Notamacropus eugenii: one gene and its partner. The protein of the gene in region 1 purifies or fractionates together with the protein of each later gene. This does not show direct contact. Links are inferred from orthologs where the notes say so. Each region holds a gene or a part of one and is shown on either strand. Other genes may lie near its edges. The genes, in order: KPNA4 and KIF22.

The links.
Region 2: the proteins of KPNA4 (region 1) and KIF22 purify together in Homo sapiens (affinity purification with mass spectrometry; 3 studies listed by BioGRID and IntAct, counting the BioPlex papers as one, with this or other methods). This does not show direct contact. The link is inferred for Notamacropus eugenii from reciprocal best matches to the Homo sapiens genes KPNA4 and KIF22.

The regions. Positions count from the first base shown.
Region 1 is NC_092877.1:364,764,159-364,776,840, forward strand, and holds the start of KPNA4 (importin subunit alpha-3), read left to right. Parts: upstream 1-7,738; 5' UTR 7,739-7,821; coding exon 7,822-7,914; intron 7,915-12,682. UniProt on the Homo sapiens protein: Functions in nuclear protein import as an adapter protein for nuclear receptor KPNB1. Binds specifically and directly to substrates containing either a simple or bipartite NLS motif.
Region 2 is NC_092872.1:47,023,374-47,035,857, reverse strand, and holds the start of KIF22 (kinesin-like protein KIF22), read left to right. Parts: upstream 1-7,732; 5' UTR 7,733-7,839; coding exon 7,840-7,911; intron 7,912-8,518; coding exon 8,519-8,647; intron 8,648-8,823; exon of another isoform or gene 8,824-9,027; coding exon of another isoform or gene 9,028-9,088; intron 9,089-9,576; exon of another isoform or gene 9,577-9,730; coding exon of another isoform or gene 9,731-9,756; intron 9,757-10,462; coding exon 10,463-10,568; intron 10,569-12,484. Other genes in the region: ZG16 (zymogen granule membrane protein 16), read left to right, coding at 488-791. UniProt on the Homo sapiens protein: Kinesin family member that is involved in spindle formation and the movements of chromosomes during mitosis and meiosis. Binds to microtubules and to DNA. Plays a role in congression of laterally attached chromosomes in NDC80-depleted cells.

The DNA of each region.
Region 1 (12,682 bases):
TATTTGCTTTTGGAATTGGGTCTGATCAGCTGAAATATTGCACATGATTTCATAAATCTCCTTGGGGTGAATTCTTCAGTAGGGAAGCAGCCCCAGGAACAGAATACCATGACCCAGCAATGAGAATTCTTCCTCACAACTTTCACTGCTCCAGTATGGGATGACACAAATACTCTGCTATCCAGTTAACCCTGAGTGGCCATTGAAGAGTCTCCATTTCTGCAGACAGCTGGGAGAGCAGTGAAAGGAAGTCTAGCTTTTGAGTCCAGAGACCCAAGCTCAGCTGACAGCTTGGTCATTTCCTGGAGGACTCTGGCCTCCAATCTCCTCCTCAGTAAAATTAAGGACTTGGAGATGACCTCTAAGGTCCCTCCCAGTTCAAAATCAGATTCTGTGAAGGACTATTTCAAATGTTTCACTTATCAGTGAATCTTTTACAAAATTTCCTGGAAGCTGTTGGGTTCTTGTGTCTCAGTGCGTCTTACATGTTCATCATTTCTGCACTAAGGAATCTCTTTCACAAACAGTATGGGAGCCAAGAATCTACCCAAGTTTGGGGAATTAATTCTACAGGGCCCTTTAGTCTAAATTAGGTTTCGGAATTCTACAGGGGCTTGGAATTCATCTTAGATTTGGGAATTTTAAGGGGGTCTAGTGGCTACTTAAGATTTGTGAATTCTACCCAGCCCTTAAGTCTAAATTAGATCTGGGAATTCTACAGGGACCTGGAGTCTCATATCTTAAATATAAGAATCGAAAACTTCCGTGCTAGAAATGAGTTACTTTCATAGACTTTTCTTTGCAATTGTTTCCCACTACTTTGTTTTATAGTTATTCCCAGTTGCCTAAAAATCTTTATTCCTTGATGCCCTAGAGACCTCACCTGCTAGGAGTGTCAATTCTTGAGTGGAGCTTTTAGACCAGCCTATAGATGACCTGTGGCCAGTGGCACCAGATGCAGTATGGTACAGGAAAGGAGTCCAGAAAATCTGGTTTCAAGCCCTACCTTGTAGTGTGAAGTCAGAGAAGTCACTTGACCTCTTCGTGTCCCCAGATCTTCCAAGACTATATAGAGGAAGTGCGGATCTGCATCATCCATATGAGGAGCTCTTTATATCATTTAATGTAGAGGCCAATCAATCTCAGCAAGCATTTGTTTAGTACTTACTACGTGCTAGGTATTGTCCTAATCATTTGAAATACAAACAAAGAATAAAAACTGCCTCTGCCCCCAAGAAGCTTATTTTCTAATGGGGGAGGCTATTTCTTTCTCTCATTCTCTCTCTCTCCCTACCTACCTCTAACATCTAAATATTTTCCTACCTCTATCATCTATCTCCCACTACCATCTATGTCTCTTTCTCTCTCTCTCTCTCTCTCCCCCCCTCCCCCTCTTCCTCTCTCTCAAATACAGAGTAGATGCAAGGTAGCCATAAGGGAGAAAGGTGCTAACAACTGAGAAGACCCTCCAAACTCAACAGGTGGACATCATATTATCATCCCCATCAAACATATGAGGTACACCATGGATGTCTGGGGGAGTATTTGAACTCAGTTTTTCCTGATTCCAAGTCTTACCCAATTTGATGCCAATCTACACTTAGCGATGGTTTAATGGGTCTTATCTCTAACTGTGGAATGAAAGGCTTTGTCCCCAGTTATGGAAATCAGATGACTGAAAGTGATTCTAGAGGCTAGGGAATACAAGACCTCATCTGAATCCCAGGCAGGATCAATGTCCTGCCCAAGGTCCTACAGGTAATATCAGAGGCAGACTTTGAACTTTGGCCCTCTCTCTCTCCCTCTAAAACCACAGCTCTTCCTGATATGGCATTCTGATGGCTGACATTCTCTTAGTAAAAAACAAAAAATGAAAGGTACAACTCCTCCTAAACATTCCAGACAGGTCAGGGACGGGACTTCCCAGTGGAAAGCTATTCCCAGAAGCCCAAGGTCATTCCTTCAGAAGGGTCCATCCGGAGAGTGAGAAGCCCCCACAACCATGAAACTCCAGCTGGGATTGGCTCCAAGAACTGCCTGGATGCTCATGTGGACCAGGGTTTATAAGATGCCTCTTGGCAAGATGATGTCCAATGACAGGGTGGGGCTTTTCTGGTAATGTGGTTATTTGGGTCCTGCTTGGTCTTCACCCTAGAGAAATTTTAGTAAACAACTCCTTGTCTCTCTATCGCTTTCTCATCTTCAGTTCGTATACATGGTACGATCATGCTTTACTTCATGAGTCTTCTAGGATGAAATTCCTTTAGAATAAAGTTCCTGTTTTTAAAAATAAAAGGAATTTTTCTAAATCATTCGTAGTAGTTATACACATCTGTGGGAGAACGTAAAAAATGTGTCCTTATCCAGCTCTGGCTGGGGAGAGCTGGTCTTACTCGAGGGCTGGGGTCCTTCTTCTCATTCTTTTCTCCCTTCTGTGACTCTTCCTGAGCTCCGGTGCCCGGTGTTTTAGTATCCTCTTCGGTCAGATATCCGTCATGGACAATAATCCTTGGAGGTCTGCGAAGCGGTTTACATGCTGCCCCTTTTAGCCCCGCAATATTCCCGTCGGGGGGCAGACCTTGGACTCCTGGTCTTACCCGATCTACACTTGGCGAGGGTTTCGTGGCTCTCAGCGGGAATGGAAGGCTTTTGCCCCCGTAGCAGAAACTTCCCCCAAGAGTCCGCCCCCCCCAAGCCTGGGCACCGGCTTAACCCCCCCAGGCTGGGCACCGGCTTACCCCCCAGCCTGGGCACCGGCTTAACCCCCCCAGCCTGGGCACCGGCTTACCCCCCAGCCTGGGCACCGGCTTACCCCCCAGCCTGGGCACCGGCTTACCCCCCAGCCTGGGCACCGGCTTAACCCCCCCAGCCTGGGCACCGGCTTACCCCCCAGCCTGGGCACCGGCTTACCCCCCAGCCTGGGCACCGGCTTACCCCTCAAGCCTAGGGTCCCGCCCCTTCCCTGGCGCCTCTGCTCTGATGGCGGGGAGGAATCCGGAGTATCTGCTATCATGGTAACTTCCCAAGGAGGCCGGCGGGCGCTGGGCGCAGCAGCCGGCACGCCGCGGTAACGGTGCGCTCCCCTGTCCGCACCTCCTCCCCACCCCCACTCAAGTCCGACGCTCCGCGGGGACTCGTCGACGCCGTGGACCTCCTCCCGCTCCTCACCGCGGATACTGTGTTACCGCCCGGTCCCGGGCGTCGCCTCCGGCCGCCCCGCACGGATCCCGGCCTGCTCTGTCAGAGGCCCTCCCGTCGGACCCCCACACGCTCAGGGGCTGGCGTCCCGGAGGCGGCTGCCGGCCGGGCTGGGCAAGCCCCCGGATCTCGGGGGGCCCCCCGGGCCGTTCCGCCTGTAAGACAGGGCGGGGGAGGCTGGAGGCCGGGGCCTCTACAAAGCCTACAAGGCCCGGCCCAGCGAGGCGCGCCAGGTGGGCCGCCCCGGCCTGCTCCCGTGCTGGGCGGCTGGGCGCGGGGAGAATCCAGCAGGCCCGGGGGCTCGGCTCCGCTCCCTGGGAGCGCAGGAGCGCCAGCAAGAGAAAGATAAAGAGCGGGAAGATGGAGGAAAGGGGGGAGAGAAGAGAGGGGGGCTCCCCGGGGAGGACGCCGAGCGAGGGCACAGCGCGCCATCTCGGAGCCAGGGAAAGCCCGGCCGAGAGTAAAGAAAGTGAAAGAGGCAGTCGCGGGCGAAGACTCCCGCCCCCTTCTCCCCTCCCCCGCCCTTCCCTTTCCCGCGCCGCTCCGGCCGACCGCCTCCCCTCCCCTCCTGGGCCGGCCCCGCCCTTGGCTTCCCCTGCCCCGCTCCCTCCTTCCCGCCCCTCCGCCTCCCTCGGCGTCGCTGATTCGCCCGACGCCCGGGCCCGGCCGCCCAATGAGCGCGCAGCTCTGGCGCGGGGGGCGTGGCCGCGGCGCCGGGGCCCTCAGATCGAGGCAGCCTCCCCCTCTCCGCCGGCAGGCAGCAGCAGCAGCAGCGGGAGCGGCGGCGGCAGTAGCGGCAGCAGCGGCGGCGGCGGCAGCGGGAGCCCCAGCCGGCGCAGCCGCAGCCGCGCACACGTTCGGCCGCCGTTGCCCGGCACCGCACGGGTTCTCTCGGCTGGAGCGGCGGGCGGCGGCGGGTGGCGGCGAGCGGCGACGAGCGGCGGCGGCGAGGGCGGCAGCTGAGGCGGCCCTGGGAGGGGCGGCGCGGGGGTTGGGGCGGATCCCGCGGGGCTCGGGCGGGGGAAGCAGGCGCCGGCCCGGCCATGGCGGACAACGAGAAACTGGACAACCAACGGCTCAAGAATTTCAAGAACAAAGGCCGCGACCTGGAGGTGAGCGCCGCGCCGCCGGGCCCGAGGGGAGGCCGGGCGGCAGCGCGGGCCGGGGCCGGGGCCGGGGCCGGGCCGGCGTGAGGGGAGCCTCCGGGCGGGCGTGTGCAAGCGTGAGTGTGAGGTGAGTGTGCGAGTGTGAGTGCGCGTGCGCACCGCGGGCCGGGCCGGGTCGGGGCCGGGTCGGGGCCGGGGCTGCTCGGGCCGGGCCGGGCCGGCGGCGGGTGGCGCGGGGGGCGGGCCCGCTCGTGACGCCTCCGCTAACGTGCCTGGAAGTTGGGGCCTGCGCCGCGGCCGCCGCCGCCGGAGGGAGGCCCGGCCTAGGCCCCCGCCCCGCCCCGAGCCGCCGCTTTCGTTGCCCGGCGCGGGCGGGAGGGAGCCGGGAGCGCCGCGTGGAGCGCGGGGCCGCAGCCGGGCCTCGGCCTCGGGGTCGCCGGCCCCCCGGCCCGCCCTCTAACAGCCCGAGGGCCAGGAGCGCAGCTGTCAGCGCCGGGGCCCACGCGTGGGAGCCCGGGAGGTGCCCCCTGCGCGCTCCCCCGGACCTCGGGGCCCGGCGTCGTTGGGCCGTTCGATTGGAGTTCCGTGCGGCGAAAGTGGCCGGCCTCCTCCTCCCAGAGTTTTCCCAACTTCCAACTTGACTGTAGGGGGTTCTAGAGGGGGTCCGCTGGAGTGAGGGTCCCAGTTCAGTGGGTGGGGAGGGCGGGTAAAGTGTTAGCTGAAGGATTGGAAGTATTTTTGAAAGTCATTGGGCGATGGAAAAATTCTGTTATTGAGACAAGTCCTAATAGGGTTGAATCTCCCTAGCACTGTTCTAGTTGTACGTTAAACAGATTCGAGACTTAAAGGCATCCGGGTAAGCATGATTTTCCTGTACTGTAGTTTGGAAAGGAATGTTTTCTCTTTCCATACGAGAGGATATGAAGGGATGCACCTGTGGCCACCAAGCCCCATTCTCATTTTTGGTCCATCAGATTGAGCTTTCATACGAAGTAGATGTGACTTACTCAAAGCCGCAGAAGACCGGTAATAGACCGTAGGTGGGAATCCAGGCCTGCCTTGTGCTAGTGTGCGCGGTCTAAGCAGGGATCCTTGCTTCCCCACCCCAGCATTCATACAGAGATGTATCTTGTGTGCCTCTTGTTATATACGTCTTTTCAATAAAGTCTTGACAGGCACCGCAAGTTTTTTTTAAATAAAGTATGGTTTATGGGTCGTTTGAGAAAAACCGGGGAAGTTAGTTTTTATGGTTAGGTGGAAAAGCTACCATGATCACTCCATTGCCTATATTCCAGGAACTTAGAAAAGAAATATGTAATATAGGAAGCATATAACTGAATTTTTTCAACATTTCATTAGTAATATGTAGTGAATGAAGTCAAGAATCCTCAGGTTTTATTCTCTTCTCGGAAGTCTGTGTTTTACACCTTGGCAAATGGCTTAGCCTGTAGTATTTTCATCTATAAGGCTGGAGGAACCTGACCTCTGCTTCTTGAATGCTGTGAAGGTTAGTGTTAGGATACCTTGTAATCCTCATGACATTTCCTCACTTTCAAAATTCATCATGGAGTTTGGAAGGAGCCCCAAAATATTTTTTTAATAAATTCATTTAGTAAATAATGAAGTATTTAATAAGATTCAAAGTGGTCGGCTAGTTTGCTTCATTGTTTTTCTGTGTTACAGTTCCTAAGTTACATTGAATCCCTGGAAATGGACCAAAAAATACTCATTTTCCAATTACTAAAAGTTAAAGGACATTTTAAGTACAACCTAATGATTTGTCTGAACTCCCTAGTTTTCAGTTTGTGTTAACTGGTAGTATCTGTAAGCTCCCCCTTCTCTTACCTTTGATCCCTAACACTCCTCCTCTTCCCCCACCCCCACCCTATTCAGAATAATTTTCAGAGAACTTCAGGTAACAGAACCAAAACATATTTTACTTTTTTTTTTAGTGTGATAGTATCACTGTTCAGTTGCAGACAGTAACCATAGAGAGGGACACAAGGCAACAGAGGAAGTGGAGAGTGTCCAGGCTTCTAGAACAACTTTCCTAGGGAAATGTAGTTTAAACTGAAAACTTACCTGATTTATTCTTATAACATATGGTAGAATTTTCTTGTAGGAATTTATTTTTAAAAAATTTTTTCATACATTTTTACTTAAATAGTACTTGACAATAGAAAAATTCAAATAAACTGAAGAACAAATAAATGTGAAGCTTGATAAATTGGGAAGAGTGTTGGAAGTGGAGTCTGCCAGATCTGGGTTGTAATCCAGCCCCTGATGCTCACTGGCTGTGTGACCATGAGCAAGTCACTTCACCTTTCTGGGTCTTAGTTTCTTTTATTTGTAAACAAGGGATAACAATATCTCTAGGACTCACCTTACAAGGTTGTTGTAAGGCTTAAATGACATCATGGATGTCACGTGTCTGCAAAATTTAAAGACTTAAATATGATTTGAAACTGATTGGGTTTCTTTTACAAAAAGCAGGGCCTAAAACAACAATTTACTCAAAATATAAAATGTTGTAATATTTTCTATGACCTTTTAAAAATTCTAGTGTTAAATTTTTTAAGTCTTTCCTCCCTAATTATGGCCATGACCACATAACAGATAATTTTTTAAGCTAAGTTACTATGAATATTTGAAGTCATCTGTTTAAATTATGAAAAGGGCCTAGAGCTTCTTAAACTGAGGTGACTAGAAATTTTGTTGTATAGGCACAGTCTGAGTGGGTGTGACCTGTCACTAAATTCAGTATAGAGTAATTGTTAAGCTGCTAGGTCTTGTTAAATTTTAGAGACTAACCTCTCATCACAAATCTTAAAACATATGTTCAATACTTAAATAATTGCTGTATGTGATTATTTTTTAAAACTATAGATCAAGCTTGTAGCCAGCATAAAATATTTATACATCTTTGGTTAGAAAATGTCATCTGACTGAGTATTGCTAATGTTTAATTCTAGTTGATAAAAATATAGTTGAGAATTAACTTTCTGTACTTCCCATGAATTAATCTTTTACTTTACCTGTAATTCATGTTAACAACATGAGTTTCAGAACAGTTACACTTACAAACATGAAGATGTTACTCATTTTCCTTAAATGAAATTTTTAAAAGCTAGTTTTCATGTGTACTAATCTCTTTTAATAAGTGCTCCAAAGTAGTGAGAAGAGGTATAGTGATAATTACAGGCTAAATAGTAAAATACTAAAGCAACTTTCAGCCTTTTTTTTTTTAAGCATTAGTCACTGACATGGGCCTTAGTCATTTATTAAAAGTGAGAAAAAGTGTATAAGGTTACTGGGAGCAGTATTTTCATCTTGTAGAAAGGTTGGTGTATATTGTTTGTGCTTTCTACACATGAGAATATACAGTTCAAAACACTCATTTGCAGGTTAAATATAACAGAAGAGATATGGGGAGATAAAATCCGAGGCTTGGAGTAAGGAGGACCTGGGTTCAGATATCTTCTATGAAATCCTATTAGGCAAGTCACTTAATCTCTGCATGCCTCAAGGAGCCATCATTGGAGGGACAAAATGGACAGTGTGTTGGTTTGGAGTCAGAAGATCTGGATTCAGTTCCTGCTTTTACTGCCTGGTATGACATTGGTCAAGTCTCTTCACTTATAAAATGATGGTGTTGGACTTGATGGTGTCCGGTGGGTCTTCAGCTCTACATCTATGATGCTGTTTTCCCTGGGACTTAGCTACTAAGTCGTAGATGGGTTGTTCATGATTGGCCTTGGCATCTCAGCTTGTCATTTAAAATAATCTTTATATTGGGACCCAAAATTTAAGTAGGGTGAAGACTGTACCTATGATTTCAGTGGTTTAGAGAACTGCTGGGGGAAGAAACTAAACCAGTGCAAGCCAGTACCTTCTTTCTGCAACTTGCTTTCAAAAATTGGCCTGGGCCTTGGTGGTTAGTGATTAAGTGACTGCTCCACAGCACTGGGGCTGCCAAGGTTTCCAAGGGGGACTGGAAGCTCAAGCTTCCTCTCTTCATAGTTTTTCCACTGTGTTCATACCTCCTTTTATCTCTGCGGTTCCAGTCAGATGAATGTGCCCTTTTGTAATGATAATCCCTCCCATCTTTACGTTTTAACAGGTTTTACCTTAGGTAGTAGCACATTGGTGGGACTTGTTTGTGTCTGCTTCCTTATCTGTAGGACTCAAGTGAAAACCTGTCACCTAGGGGACAGGAGAGAGAGAATGAGAATATAGCTCTATTTGTATTTGTAATATTTAGCGTTATTTGACCACACCTGCATTTATTTTGTTTCCCGACAATGTAAAAGCTTCTCTAGCATAAGCTCTAGTTTAGTTTCCCCACTACCTGGTAAGTAAGATACTATGCATGTAAATACAGTAAACATTCTCTGCTGACAGGGCTTAGGGATACTTTGTTTCATGTGAACTCCAGCTTTCTCTTTTCTTCATCGTTCATTTTTAGTACAAAATTAAGTCTCATGTCAGCTAACAAAACTCTTGTGTCTTCATTTTAAGTTACACTTTGACAAATCATATTATAAGTGAATCCTTAATTTTTTATTTTTATTTTTTTTTTACTATTTGCCCTAAAGCAACATGTGCCTAATCTGGCTGTTGTTACAATGAGGAAACAATCATTCTCTACCTCACTTTGGACAATGGTAATTGACCAGTTGGTTATCACTGATAGTTCTTAAATTTCTAAGCATTCCTTTGCTAGTTCCCTAAAAGAAGTTTTACTTAGATTTATTTGGCTTAATACTTGTACAATGGAAATCTGTTATTTGTGTCCTTTAAATCTCATGAGGGAATTTGATTTTACCCCAGGCTGACTTCCTCACACTTGTAAGCTGCTACCACCCCAAGAAGTCAGCCGCTGTGGCAGAGTGGCATTTTTGCTCTTTTCGTTGCAATCAGAAATGTAAACTTGGCCTTCCTGGTTTTTTTTACCTCTCTTCTTGTATTTTGTATGAAGAGGGGAAGGTTACAATTACAATAGCTAGTGGTTTTAAGAAACACAGTGGAAGTTTATAATGCTAGGGTTGAAAAATAGGGCTAGCACTTGTTAGAGGTTTGTAATGCAGTCTGTAGCTGTATTTGCAAGGATGTTATTTTCATAACCTTACCTGAGATAGTAGTTGAGTTTGTATGACTATTAATAAAAGTGGGCACTACACTGTACTTAGAAAGTCCCTGTAGTTATAGTATTCTTTGTGCCCATTTTTTTATTGAGAAAGAAGAGAGTAAGCATTTCTATAGCACTTACTGTGTGCCAGGCCCTGTGTGAAGTACTTTCCACATGTTATCTCATTTGATCCTCACTAGTTCTGGGAGGCAGTTGCTGCTATTTTCATTAAGGAAAATGGAGACACACAAAGTTTAAATGACTTGCATAGGATCCCCAAGCTGATCACTTGATTCCATGTCTGCCTTTCTAGCTTCTGTACCACCTAACTTCCTTTAAGTATATTGGATTTAGTTCTCATTTAAAGAAAAAGAAAGCTTTCAAGGTTCTCAGGTAGATAGATGCAAGTTTCTATGTATCCTTTCCTAAATTACTCCCACCCCAAAAGTCTCCAGTTAAAATTCCTAGAACCAAAGATTAAATTTGGTTTAGTAGTTTATACTTTGCATCAGTACTTTATAATTTCGAAACATGAGGATAATCTCAGATAATCTGAGTCAATATTGTCTGAGTTAGTGAAATCCTCATTTTTTTTCTCAATTAAGCTCATTTGGTAGGCCCTTACCACTGTTTTCCTGGACTATAGTGTAACAGCTGCCTTATCCAGGCTTTTCCCTCACAAGTCTATCCTCCGTGTACCTGCCAAATTAATATTCATAATACACACTGGTGTCTTCCTCTTACCTTTAAAATAAAAGTCAAACTCCTGACTTTTAAAGCCTTTTACATTTTGGCTCTCATTTCCCAGGCTTGTTGCTCATTTCTCTCCTGTAGCCAAACTGACCCACTTGATATTTCCCCAAGATGGAGGGGCATTTCCTGCCTCCATACCTTTTGCACAGGCTGTCCCCCAATGCCTCGCATTCACTCCCTTCTCACCACTACCATTTAGAGTCCTTATCCTTTTTCAAACCTTTGCTTAGGCCACTTCCTTTCAAAGCTTTCACTGATCCTTCCAGCTTTTAGTGACCTTGAGTTTTGTATCTATTTTGTATTGACTTTGTGTATGGTTTTTTTCCTTCCAATGGATTGTAAGTTATTTGAGGGCCAAGACTGGTATCCCTCATACCTTGCATGTGAGGAATAGATTTAGAGATGGCTGGGCTCCCTTAGCTCATGGGGGTCTAACCCTCTCTTTTTAGAGATGAGGAAACTAAGGTACATAGAGGGGAGATGATTTATCTAGGGTAACATAATAATTGGCAGAGCTAGGATTTGAACCCAGCTTCTCAGACTCTGAATCCAGCCTTTTCACAGGATCACAATATGTAGTTCATAAATACTTGTCAAGTGTTTAATGACTAGACTAGTTTAATAATAGCCTCCTCCTTATCTAATATCCCCCTCCTCTCCAATCTGTCCTTCATTCACCACACTGCCAAGCTAATAGTCCTAAAGCACAACTCTGCCTCTAACTTGAACTATCAGGATCCTACCCACCTTTTCTCAGTCCTCATCCTCCTCACCTTTCCTGACCTTTGGCACCCCTAATCACTCTCCTCTCTTAGTTCTCCTATTTGACTGTTCCATTCCGTGGATCTTCATATAGGTCATGCCCACTAACTCTGGGCCCTCTTCTCAGTCACTTCCCATGGTGTCTGTTGTCATCCCTGTCCAACCCTAGCCTTATCTGGCTAGAGAGTCTCCCATCTCCAACTGTCTCTTGGAACTCTGGGTTTATGTATCCAGTAGACATCTTCAACTTAACATTCCTAAAACTGAACCCTCCTTGCCCCCTCCTGACTTCCCTCTTCCTGTCAGAGCTCACCCAGACATGAACCATGACTGCTTCCCCCCTTCCTCCCATCTAATTTGTTGCCTGGTCCTGCTTTTTCTCCTTTTCTAGGGTCTCATTTGCTTCCCTCCTTTGACACTGTGATTCTGCTGTATTCTCTCATCACCTCATGCCTAGAGTATTTCAGTAATCTTTTAATTGATCTCCGTGCCTCAGGTGTCTCTTCTCTCTAGTTCATCCTCCATTTAGGTATCAGAGTGATTAATCTTCCTAAAACTCAGATGTGACCGGGTCACTTCCTTACCCAGTAAACTCCAGAAGCTCACAGTTACCTTCAAGAGCAAATATACAATCCTCTGTTGTGCTTGTAAAGCCCTTCCTTTCTGATCTTCTTACCTTTGCTTCTCTCCTCATACTCCGCAATCCAGTGACAGAGGTCTTGCTGCTCTCTGCACGAGTCACTCCAGCACGTCTTTGTCCAGCTCTGCATTTTGACTGACTATCCCCCATGTCTCTTTTTCCTCAGCTCCACCTCCTGACTTCCTGGCCTACTTCTGCAAGAAGCCTTTCCTCAGCTCCGCTAGATGTAGCAAGCACTTTCCCTCTTGATTTCCTCCACCTAAGGATTGAAATTTGTATTCTTAATACCTGACTCAGAGCCTTATACATGATAGGCACTTAGGAAATGATCATTGCATTGAGTTGAATGGGTTACCTCTTCAGGAAGCATTCAAAGATACATACTTTGTAGCATTCAGAGACATAGTCATTACGTTTTTAAAGGTGAGAGCTTTTCTTATCCACTATCCAATTGTTTGTGGGATGGTAGCTCACTGGTATCCTAATTAATTCAGAGGAAGTCTCATATACAATGAATATGTTGGTGGGATTGAATTAAACAGCTTCTAAGTTATTCCAGGTAATGCCATATTTTCCTTTTTTCTTCCTCCACCATGTTTATGAATAAAAAAATAAAAGCACTTTACTGTTTGCCAGGCACTATGCTAAATGCTAGGGATATAGATATGAAATGGAAACCTTCCCTGCCCTCCAAGAGTTTCTCTTCTAATAGGGAGTGATGGCTAAAGAAGGCCTTTTGGTCTGAATAGTCCCAGGGTTGGTAAATAGAGTCAGAGCTAGGGCAGTCTTTTGACGTGCTGTTTCTGAAAGCAGCAGTGGTGGTAGTATTTTGAGCAGGAGGAGGTGCCCACAGGGCAGTCCAACAGAAAAATAGTCAGGGAGAAGCTAAGCCAAGTGTCAGGAGCAGGCTGGATAGAATTGGGGTCTCACTTGTCAGGACAGCTTAACTCCAGGGGAAGAGTTCCAAACAGGACATTACAACAGCAGCAGCAGTGGGAGAGTGTGGCAGGAGATGGCAGTGATATTTATTAATAACCATAGCTACTATTTACATAGCCCTTAAAGGTTTGAAATGCACTTTACAAGTATTATCTC
Region 2 (12,484 bases), on another chromosome or scaffold:
TTCTGGGTTCTCTGCTTCAACCATTCTTTCTGATCACCAATGATCTCCCAAATCCTGGGATCTCTTCTTCAGTCCTGATCTTCTCCTGACCTTTCTGTAGCTTTTAACAATGTTGACCCTCCTCTCCTCTCAGATGCTTTGTCCCCATCAGGTTCACAGACATCCTACTCTCCTGGTTTTCCTCCTACTTCTCTAGATGCTCCTTCTCTGACTCCTCATCCTCTTTTCCTTCATTTTCCTCAAGTGTCTGTGCTTGGCCTTCATCTCTCCTCAGAAATCTTAACTGCTGTGATAGTTTCAATACCACCTCTGTATAAATGACTCCAGAATCCATCATCTCCATTCCTTATCCTTTCTTCTGGAATCCATACCTATATTTTCTTCTGCAAGTCTCACAGAACATGTTCAAAATCAACCTTATCTCCCCCCACCCTTTTTTCTTGTCTCCCCCCCAAACCTTTTCTTCCTTCTGCCTATCCCACCCCAGACTCCAGGTCCGATATGGCAAGGAGTGGAGCGACTATGTTGGGGGTTCCCAAGGTGACCTGGAGGAGATTTTCCTGCATCCAGGGGAGTCAATCATCCAAGTGTCAGGCAAATATAAGAAATACCTTCGGAAGTTGGTATTTGTGACAGACAAGGGCCGCTACCTGCCTTTTGGCAAGGACACAGGCACCAGCTTCAATGCTGCCCCACTGTACCCCAACACTGTTCTTCGATTCATTAGCGGCCGTGCTGGCTCTCTTATCGATGCTATTGGCCTACATTGGGATGTTTACCCCACCTGTTAACAGTTGTTAACCATCCAGACACAGCAGACCCAGGGGCTGTCTCTCCTTGGGAAAGTCCTTGTCCCCTCAAACCCTACCCATCACCTACTAAAGGGTTCAAATAAAAGGATATTGCTGAAGCCAGTGTGTGAAAGTGTGTTTCCATTGTGTGCCTCTAACCCAGAGCAAGTGTGCCTTTGTTTGTATCTGTGAACCTCAAAGTTCAGTAATTCTGTTTGGCATTAGGCCAAAGGATGCTTGGGGGTATCTCCAACAGTCTTACCCTCTCTGAGCCTGTTTTCCCATCTATAAAATGAAGATAACATTATCTATCTTAATTTCACAGGGCTGTGGTTGGGTTCAGATGAGATAATGTATATCAAAGACATTTTCTCAAGAGCAGATATAAGGGCCTAGCAAGGACCATCTTTTCCTGAAGAACACAGGGATGGAAGTGTTTACCAAACCTGGAATTTTAGAGATGGTATGGAGATGGTTGCTGTGGCTCCTCTCCAGTTCTGCTCTCCTACTCTCCTCCTCATCCTAAGATAGATTTTTTTTTTTTTGCTTGCTCAACCTTGAGATGGACAGAGTCAGATAATAGGGATTCAAACCCCACCTCTGACATTTACTATGTGTCTGACCACAAGCAAGTCACCTAAACCTGGGGTTCATTTTTCTCTTCTAATCAATGACTACTGCTCATTGTAGTGCCTCAGAGGGTGTGGTAAGGCTTTAATGGCTCTGGAGGAGGAGTGAGGCTGGTGACCTGCACAGCCCTCCCTCACTCAAAATAAAGTCAAGTGTAAGTCATGTCATCATTTCTCTGATGGCATGGTGTTCTTCTGCAACAAACACTGCTCATTGTAGTGTCTCAGAGCTGTGGAAAGGCTTTAATGAGTTAGGGTATGTAAAGGCCTTTATAAACTGCCTTGTGCTACACAAATTACCAACTACTATAAGGACTTTTCAGTCTACCCTTGCTGCCATGTACAACAGCCTGTTTTCCCTCAAGTCTGTGTGACTTCCCTAATAGGCTCCTGACCTTATTCTCTCATTTGTTCTGAACCCTAAATCTTGACAGCAATGTGACTTAGAAGGAGCACTGAACAGGAAGTCAACGTTCTGGTACCAGCTCTGATACTAAATCTGTGATCTTGGGCAAGTTCCTCAGTTTCTGAGAGGCCTCAGTTTCCTCACAGGTGAGATAGGGAGATAAGCCCTGATTATCTCAACAGTTCCTTATGGCTCTAACATTTTAAGTGTCTATGATTATCCTTCCCAGAACTGGGGCTCTGACCCTAAGATCACTCCTAGTCCAGAAGTTATCTTGACCCCAGAAGAGGAGGATGACTGAGGATAACCCCTGACACAAGAAGAGAAGGATGACAGCATGATTTTGTAACCCATGACTTGGGGATCTCCAAGTTTCAGGCTCACAAAGACCAGGTCTAATCTTAGAGTCTGGCCCCTAAAAGCAATTTTCTCTTTTGGCTCCTATACCCCTCTCCAGATTTTCTCTGAGTCACCATATGTAGCTTAAATATAACATATGTCTAGATTTCCACAGATGCAGATAAATTCCCTAGGTATGATATAAACATTCGAGGTAATAAATGCATGTCTGATACAAGACAGTATTTTATTCCAAAGAAATACAAAAGTCTCACAGGAGTCTGTAAATAGACATAGAAAATGCAGTTAGTATTCATAGTAGCCTAGAAGCTCTTCCAAAGGAAAATGAACTTGCTACCATCAGGCAGTCCAAAGAATTCCAGAGAGTTAAGCAGTCCCTTTCGTACATATAGTACCACCCTTTGATTTGGACTCTTTCTGGAAGGCAAACACACTTTGCGATTTCTGGGCAGACAATTCCTTTCTCACTAAGAGAAATATTCCCAAAATATTTCCAAAACTTGGTATTAAAATGGGCAATAACATATAGGTCTTCTATACTAGCAGCTCTCTGTATATAGGGCCATGTAGATGTTTCTGTTCTTTCTCCCACAAGATCCCTTTCTGCAAAATCCTTTTTCTTTCTAGAGGATCTGCTTTGCAGTTCTTGAATCTGGGAATACTTTGGAGGCAACTTCCAAGACTGGTGATACTCAAGAAATCTCCCTTGTCAACTAGAAAGCTAGATTAAAAGATCATACTGCCTAAAAAATTGGGGTTCAGGAACACTATCCCTGCACTTCTCTCTTGCAATATATAGGGAAGCTTATGATTATTTCTGCAAGAATTCTTGAAACTCCACTATGGCCCCAGATCCTCCCATGTCCTGGCCTGGAAAAGGCCACTATCAGAAACTCTTCCCTCTGACCAAATGAGCAAGAACACATTTAACTTTTATGTCCCCAATGCTTTTGCACTGTTTCTTACCTCTGTGGAGACTCTGCAGTCCAAGAATTTTTTACAAAGGGAGAGAAACAAAACAGCATTTGTGAAACACACTATCAGAATTGAGGCTGCCACAGAGGTCAGGGCAGTGTTCTGCATTGGCTATGTTCTAGAATAGAAAGACATAGGATTGCATGAGGACATATATATATAGTGATATGCACACTGTGGGGTTTACTTCCTATCTTCCTTCCCCTGACCTTATCGTTGCAGGCTTCCATGAGTGAGAGGGGAGAGGGCAAATAGGTGCAGACCACAACAAGTACCAGGCAGCAGGCACAATGTCAAGAAACTAAAGTGACTGTAGGCCAGTACATCTGAAAACCTCCTGATCAGAAGCAGAGAAAAGAGCTGGAAGCCATAACGAGAGAAAAGATCCAGAGGAGCAGAAACTATCAGTTATTATGAATCCCATTGGGCTGATTTCACTCACTGTCTTCACTGATTTTCCCCTATCTCTGATCTCTGATCCCTGAGACAGGACTCAGACTCTCCTTTCCCTCATTCCTTTCTTTTGGGCCACAGGCTACTGTGGTCAGGATTTCTCTGAGCCACATTCAAATATCTGGAAGAACAACTGGGAGACATTTTGGGAACTGTCAGGAAAAGGATGCTACCATTCAGAAGTATGTTATCTAGCTTCTTTTTCAGTTTACTCTATTATGAATAATAAGCTATAAGATCACAACATGTTGTCTCTAAATCTATGGGTGCAGTATGCAATACGTTGAGAGGGGGGAACCTAGATGGCTCAGTGGATAGAGCACTGGGTCCTGAGTTGAGATAGATCTGAGTTCAAATCTGACCTCAGATACTTCGTAGCTGTATGACCCTGGGCACATCACTTAACTCAGTTTCCTCATCCCAAAAATGAGAAATAAATGATAACCCACTCCAGTATCTTTGCCAAGGAAAACCCCAAATGGGTCATGACTAAACAACAAGAAAAACCCCGGTAGGGATTAGGAGCTAGATATAGGTGTCAGATTTTGGTTTTTCAACATTTGGAGCAACTTTCCATTTCATTCCCTAGATTAATATTGGACCAGCCAATGAGAAGTTAATCCAAACTGCTGAACAAAATCCGAGCCCTGCTATAGCATGAACTTTCCTGGGAAGGGGAGGGGGGTGAAAGGATTGAGCAGCCCAGGTGTTTGAAGGCTGTAGTCCACCTACTGGCCAGGCAGGCTATTGCAGGTTCTTAGGCTGGCTATCCTGCCCAAGAAACTGAGAAAGCTGGGTTGGTGGCTCCAGTAGAGTGCCACCTGTAGATAATGCCACTCTTACATCCTCTTGCTACATAATTAGCACAATGAGACCCTGACTTTCTGTTGCCTTACGTCTACATCAAACCACACAACCCAGGGAGTCTTATGGGTTGTTGTGAGGATCAGATGGAAAGTGCTTTGTTAACCTTAAAGCCAGATGTAAAAATAGTGATTTTAAAATTGGTCCGTTTCACCAGTTATGCTCCTGTTCCCAACTTCCAGTGTGGTTGTAGGGAAAAAACTGCTGAGCCTAAAGTGCCAACTCTACTGCATCTTGCCTCCTGGAGGATCCTGGGTAACTTACTAAGTCTCTCTGAGCCTGTTTTTACATCTGGAAAATAAGGAGGTTGGACAATCAGTGGTTCTCCAAGTGTGATCAGGAGACCTCTGGTGGCCCCCTGAAACTCTTTTAGGGGGTCCTTGAAGTCACAATTATGTTCATTACAATGGTAAGATATTTTAATTTCTAATATGGTAAATATCAGTTAGAAATAACCATATTGTGTTCATCATTTGTTGTGGAAGAAGACCATGCCATCTGAGAAATGATGACAAGACTTGCACTTGACTTTGTTTTGAGTGAGGGAGGCCTGTACAAGGTCACCAGCTTCACCTCTCCAGAGCCCTCTGAATACAGTGACCAGATATTCATCAGGATAACTGGAGATGATCCCAGATGCTCTTTGCAGGTACTCACTTAGGATGAGGCAACACCCATTCATTGAATAGGCCAGTTTAAGAAGTAGCCAAGGCCCCTTTAATGAGGTCAAGAAAAAGAAAGACATCAGCCTGGGAGGGAAACAGCAACAGTTACTATTGATAATCACTCTAAAGCTAGGAGGGTCCAGAAGAGCCTTAAGGCAGGGGCCCATTGGCATCCCACCTTCAGAGTGCAGTAGGTTTGAGGTTTAGGGAAAGGACAGGACAGGACAGGACAGGTAAGGAAACGAAACGAAAGGAAACTAGCCAGTAAAACCCAAGTCAACTGGGCATCTTTTGGCCATCCAAATTTACCTTCCTTTGGAGAGGAGAAGGAAGGGGGGAGGGGGGAGAGGCAGACAGGAGAAGAGGAGCTGAGTTACCCAGCTAGCTGGGTTCCCATTCAGCCAGCTGCATGTACTCACAGAATTGTGTTTGTCCTTCCTTACCGAAGAAGACTATGCCATCAGAGAAATGATGACATGACTTGCAGTTGACTTTGTTTTGAGTGAGTGAGGGCTGTGCAGGTCACTAGCCTCACTTCTCCTCCAGAGCCTTCTGAATCCAGTGACCAGATATTCATCAGGATAAACAAGAGCTCTGTGAGGTCCTAAATAATTTTTTAATATTTTATTTTTCCCCAATTTACATGTGAAAATAATTTTAACACACTTTTTTCTTAATTTCTGAGTTCCAAACTTTCTCTCTCCCTCTCCCCTGCCCCCACATTGAGAAGGCAAGCAATTTGATACATGTTGTACATGTGCAGTCAAAACATGCAAAACATATTTCCATGTCAGTCATGTTGTGAAAGAAAAGAGAAAATACAAGAAAAATAAAGAAATAAGGAAAACGTATGCTTCAATATGGATTCAGATTGTCAGTTTGTTCTCTGGAGATGGATAGCATTTTTCATCCTAAGTCCTTCAGAATTGTATCATTTTATCCCTAAGAAGAAGTAAGTCATTCATAGTTGATCATCACACAATGTTGCTGTTACTGTATAAAATATTATCCTGACTCTGCTCATTTCACTTTGCCTCAGTTCGTGAACGTCTTTCCAGGTTTTTCTGGGAGCATCCTGCTCATCATTTCCTGTAGCACAACAGGATTCACAGCTTGTTCACCCAGTCCCCAATTGATGAGCATCCCCTTAATTTGCAATTCCTTGCTAGGTCCTCAACAATTAAGAATGTAAAGGGATCTTGAGACAAAAAAGTTTGAGAATCACGGAACTGGATGATCTTTAAGGACCTTTCTAGCTACAAATATTATGAATCCTGACTACCATTTAGTCAGAAAACAAGCATTCACTAGCAATATGATTGACGAGAGGCAAGTTGCTCTCTCAGTTTCGCTTTCCTCCACTATAAAATTATGCAAATTATATTTATACAACCTACCTCATAGAGTTTGGAGAAAATTATTTTGTAAGTTTCAAAATTGCTGTATGAATTAAGTTTATTAAATTTCTAATAATGAAGTATGGTATAATGGTTAAAAAAACACTGACTTGGGAATCAAAAGAATTCAGGTCCAATTGTGGCTCTGTCTCTAGCGTGCTTGGTGACCTTGGCACTGACTTGGAAGAGCAGAAACCTTTGGTTTCGTTTTTGGTTCAACAAATCAACTCAGTGAATGTGCCATTGTAGGGAGAAGGAACTTCCTGCTAGCCAAGATAATGCTCTGCTGGTAACACTAAATCCTGTGGAGTGGTGGCTCTTGACAAATCTGAACTTAGAAACATCAATCCACTTCCCTACGAGCAAGAATGATGAGAGCCAGCAAGGTGCTCCCACCCATTACTAATTAGTAATGTCCTCAGCTCCCTTGATGTTACTCTAAGATGTGGAGCTGCAGTCATGCTCTCCTTAAGTTACGACTTCCGTTGTGCCCGGTCCCAGGGAGTGGTTTAGAACAGAGCTCTCTCTTCACCAGTGTCCTAGCATGCATGTCCTGGGTAGCTTACCTATTCACTGATGCACAATAATCTAAAACCACTTTACCCAGGCCTAGACAGGAATAGAAAGCACAGTGGATAGAGCACCGTGCCTGGAGTCAGGGAGACCTAAGCTCAAATCCAGCCCTGGTCCCTTCCTAGTACGTCATTTAACCTCTGCCTGCCTCAGTTTCCTTCTCTGTAGAATGGGGGTGATAACAATAGCACTTACCTCTCAGGATTGTTGTGAAGATAAAAGGAGATATTTGCCAAGGCTTTGCCAACCTCAAAATGCCATATAAATCCTAGAAATTATTTTTATCGTTATTTACTAAGTACCTACTACGTGCCAGGTGCTGTACTAAGGTGTTGGGCACGTACAGAAAAGCCAAAACACAGTCCTTACTGTCCAAGAGCTCCCAGGCTAACCCGGGAGACCACGTGCAAGTAACTGAGTACAAACAAGATGCAGACAGGATAAACGGGAGGTAATTAACGGAGGGAAGGCACTGCTAGCACTGAAGAAGACGGGGGAAGAGCTTCTTGTAGGAAGCCAGAAGGAGGTGGAGACGGTGGAGAGGATCCCGGCATGGGGACAGACAGCCAATAAAAACGCATGAAGTCAGGAGATGGAGAGCCACAGAAAAGGGGCCGGCGTCACTGGATCGTCGCGGGTGGAGGGGAAAGGAGAAAGAGTAAGGTGTAACAAGAACGAAGGAAGGCTTTGAGATGCCGGCGCATTTTACATTGGATCTTGGACCGAATGACAGGAGAGTGGACAGTCCGCCAGACCGGAGCTGAGCCAGCGGACCCTAAAAGCGCGGAGAAGCTGAGGGTGGGCTTCAGGGTGGGGGCAGGGTCGAAGGGGAGGAGGGGCTGGGCCACGGAGAGGTTACGTTACCGAGGTGGAAATCCCAGGACTCCGCATGGGATTGCCTGGGGGAGGGGAGAGGGGGGAGGGGGGAGGGGAGAGCGAGGAGGACGCCTAGGTTTGGGGCTGGAGGACGGCGAGGATGGGGGCGTCCGGAAGAGAGAGAAGCGTGAGAGGAAAAGGTAACGACCCCGCTCTGGATCTGCGGAACTTGGGAGGTCCGCGGGGCGGCCAGCCTGAGAGGCCTACGGGGCGGCCGGAGCGGAGGACGGCGGCAGAGGCCCTGGAGAAAGCACAGCGAGCAGGGAAGAGGGCCCGGGCCCAAAGCTGGCTCCGGGGCCGGAAGAGCCCCCGTCGGGAGCGGACGGGCGGGGCTGCCTCGAAGCCCGCCCCCTAGGAGCTCGCCCGGACTCGAGGACGGGAGGAGTGCAGGGGCGCACACCTGCGCAGACGCCACAACTGCAGCCCTGTCGGAAAGGGCTCCGCCGGGGGCGGGGGGGGGAGGGCGGCTGGGGACGACCCCACCCCTTCCGGCGCCTCAACCGGCCTGACGCTCGCCATTGGTCGAAAGGACCGGAGGAGGCGGAGCCGCCGGGGAATTCGAATGCCGAAAGGAACCAGCTCTGTGGAAGAGGAGTTGGGTTGGGGGCGGCCGGCGAAGCAGAAGCCCGAGAGATGGCGGTGGCAGCTGCGGCTGCAGGTAGGGGCGCTCGGGGCAGCTGCGGGCCGAGGATGGCCCACGCTGCCTCAGCAGGGGCTCGCTTCTCTGGGTTATCCCTTGGAGGTTTCCCGGGCGCGCGGGGTGGGGGATGGGGAGAAGGGAGGTGGGGTCGGTCCCGCGGTGCAGGCGCAGGCGCAGAAGACGCCGTGCGCGTTCCTTCCGGCGCCCCCGGATCCTTTCTCTGCCCTCCTTCCCCCAGGGTGGGGAGAGAGAAGTGTGGAATGGGTTGTTAATGCCTCCCTTCGCGGGTCTGAGACTTGAAGGAGGGAGCCCCGTATCTCCCCAAAGGGAAGCGGGGTTCAGGAGTTGGGAATCCCGGACTAGACCAGAGCTAGAAATGAGAGTGGAGTTGAAGACTAATGGAAGCTCTGACGTGGGACAGATGGGGAGGAAGAGGACTCAGTGACAAACCAGACACCTGTAAGTCAGGAGAGGCCGGTGACAGCCCCTGCTCTCACAGAGCTCACTTTTAATAGGGGAGACTGTTGAGGTCTGAGGGGCGCTGGGGGACCCCGAAATACAGACACCGGGTCCTGCTCGAATGAATTCGACACTAGCCTTCTTAAGGCCCCCAAAAACAAAGTTTATTAAAGATTCGCCATTTTGGGTTGACTGTTAAGGAGCCTTTATAAGCATTTATAACGTTTGTATTCACTAGCGGGCCAGATAGAATCTCAGCTAGACAGAGTCTGAGCGCCTTCATGGAGGCAAGATGGAACTTAAATACAGAAAAAGACTGAGGGAAGCATCCAGGTGTGGCCAGGTAGTCTGGGGTCCCAGGGATGGTCTTGAAAGATCAAACCCAGGGAGGATTCTGATTGGAGTGGCTGGTAATAGGATCAAAGAGAGAAATATGGAAAGAATGCTAAATAGAAGATTATCTATTTATTATCTGTTATCTGCCTAAGAGAGTATCTGACCTGAGAGAAATGGAAGGGGAATCCAAGGAGCTCCCTGTCCCCCAAGGCCAGACTGCCCAGGGCCCTTCAGACAAATGTGACAAAGCTCTTCCCATCCAAAGGGAAAAGGTCTTGGTTTGAGCTTGTTCCCCATCAAGACCACATGAAAACAACTATGTACAAACAAAGGTATATGCAGGATAAGTTGAAGATATTCAATACAGGGAGTACTAACAATCATTGAATGAAAACCAGATAATTTATATTGTCTCTATGCACAAAGCAAAATAGCCCATTTTTAAGTTTTAAGTTTAAGCGTTTTAAGTTGTCATAGATATGACACTTTAGAGGATTACTCTTAGGATCACAGGATGATAAAGTAAGCTGGAAAGGGCCTTAGAAGGCATGTGAAACAACCCTCTTCATTTTAGAGATGAGGATTTGAGACTCAGAGACATTTAAATGAGTTGCCAGGCACAGATAGAGTGACAGCTGGGATTCTTTGTTCCTCTTACAAACTCCTGATTGGTAAGGTACTGTCTCCTAGCTTGACTCCCTACCATAGACATGCAGACCTTTTCATTAGGGACCAGTGCTTTCCTTAAACATTCCATTTCTTCTGATCACTCTCTGATGGTTTCTGCTGATCACCTGTAACATTTATGGGCCATATCCTACAAGTTAGCATTTAATTATATTCTCTCAGGTTCTATTTATTCTTTTGTCAGTAGACAAGCATTTATTAAGTGCTTACTATATGTCAGGCTTACATATGCTTATTGACTCTAAAAACTAGACTTGTACCTTTAGAGAGACCTGTAGTATAATGAAAAGGACACTGAACTAATTAGATGTCAGGAGGCTGAGCTTACAGTCCAGGCTCTTAATCTCTAAGGTTTCCCGTATCTCTTCAAAACAAAACAGAAAAAACCTGACATTGACAATGTCCAGAAGAAAATATGTGTCATCCTGCATCCTGAGTCCTTCATTTCTATCAAAAGGCAAGTAGCATGTTTCATAGTGAGTTCTGGAATGATGATTAGTCATTATGGTGATCACATTTCTTAAGTCTTTCAAAAGTGTCTGTCTTCCTTATATAAATTTACTTGCTTGTATAGATTTCACTCAGCATCAGAGTCCAGGTTTCTCTGAAACCACCCCTTTCATCATTTCTTAAAGCACAATAGATTTCCATCACATTTTTATACCATCATTTTTCCATCCATTCCACAGTTGAAAAGGACCATAGTTTTCCACTTCTTTACCACCACAAAGGATTGTATTTTTTTTTACATACCTACTAAGAGTTTGTTTTGCTTAGGACTAATCCCTTCCTTATTCTACCCTTCTTTTTCTCCCTTTCCCCTCCTATTTTGTTGTGTGTATGTACTTCTGTGCCCACTTGTATCTGTGTGTGTAACGATGCTTCCCTTTGAACAGTTTAGATAAAAATGAGGTTCAAGTGTCAGCTGCTTCCTCAACCCTTTCTTTCTTGCTTGTGTAGACTTCTCTTTGTGCGCCCTGATTATGTGAGATAATTTTCCCTGATCTTCCTTTCCCTTCCATCCTCTCACCCTGCTAATGTATTCCTCTTCCCTTCTCTTTTCATTCTTCATTTAAGATCTTCAAGACAGAACTAAATCCAAGACCTCTCTCTGTGACCCCTCTTGATAGGGTTCAGAGGGAAGACTTTGGGATTATAATCTTTACTTTCTTAGATCCTGGGAGAAAGGGTGTTGGGAGTACTAGTTGTTTGGGTTCTGGAAAGGGAAGAAAATAAAGATAGGGAGGTGAGTATAAGTTATGGGCAAGGAGGACCAACAATTTTTTTTCTCCAATAAATACTTGGGGTCAATTAACAATTACATTAATAAATACTTCTTGATTGATTAGCTTTTTCCCGCCCTTTATTTTCTATTTTGTTCACAATGGGGCAGCTTAGCGGAGTAAACAGAGAGCCATCTACAGAGCTGGGAAAACCTAAGTTCAAAGTTTCACCCATAGAACTACCAGCTATGTAACGATGAGCAACTGACTTAATCTGTCAATGCTCTAGGAGTCTACAAAATAGAAAGTTTAGCCATGAGGCAGCTACAGGTATAGTGAATAGAGCAATGGATTTCAAAACTAGAGTTCAGATCTTGCTTCTGCCACTTCTTAGTTTTTTTCATTTATAAACTGAGGATGATAATAGCACATACTTCACCAGACTGTTGTGATGACCAAATGAGATGAGTAAGTAAAGTACTTAAAAACCTTACATTACTAGCTATGAAGCTGCAGAGAAGGTACAGGTCTATTTTGGTAGAGGAATTTTCTGTACCATTGAAATCACAGGTCCAGTCCCATATTTTCATTTTATTCCAATAACCACCCCATAAAATAAAAGGGTCATATTTTACAGAGGGTGAAACAGGGAAAATGATTTGCCTAAGTTTACATTTCCTTTTTTTTTGGCTGATTCCCCAAAGGAGCCAGTCTGAATCAAACTCTTTGGTGTGTATTACCTAGTGAATAAAGGATTTCATCACAGGAGCCCATCAATCCAACCATCTTTCTTGGCACTAAGTCCCAGAGGGCAAACTATCTTTTTTGTCTCCTCACACAATTAGGATTAGTGTCTTATTTCTTACTCTTACAGTATGGCATATACAGAGTAAGTGTTATGATCCCCTTTTTTCACATGAGGAGACTGAAACTCAAAGAGGTATTGGTGCTTGTCATGTAGCTATTGTCAGTCAAGATTTGAACCCAGTCTTTCTGATTCTCAGATCAGTTATTTTCCCACTACACCACACCTGCACTCAATAAAACCTTCACTAAGGGCCTAACCTGATTCCTCATTATAGTGTGGAAGTAGTCCTAGGTTCTTGAAGGCTATGCCAATGGAATACAAACTCTGATAGATCCTGCCAAG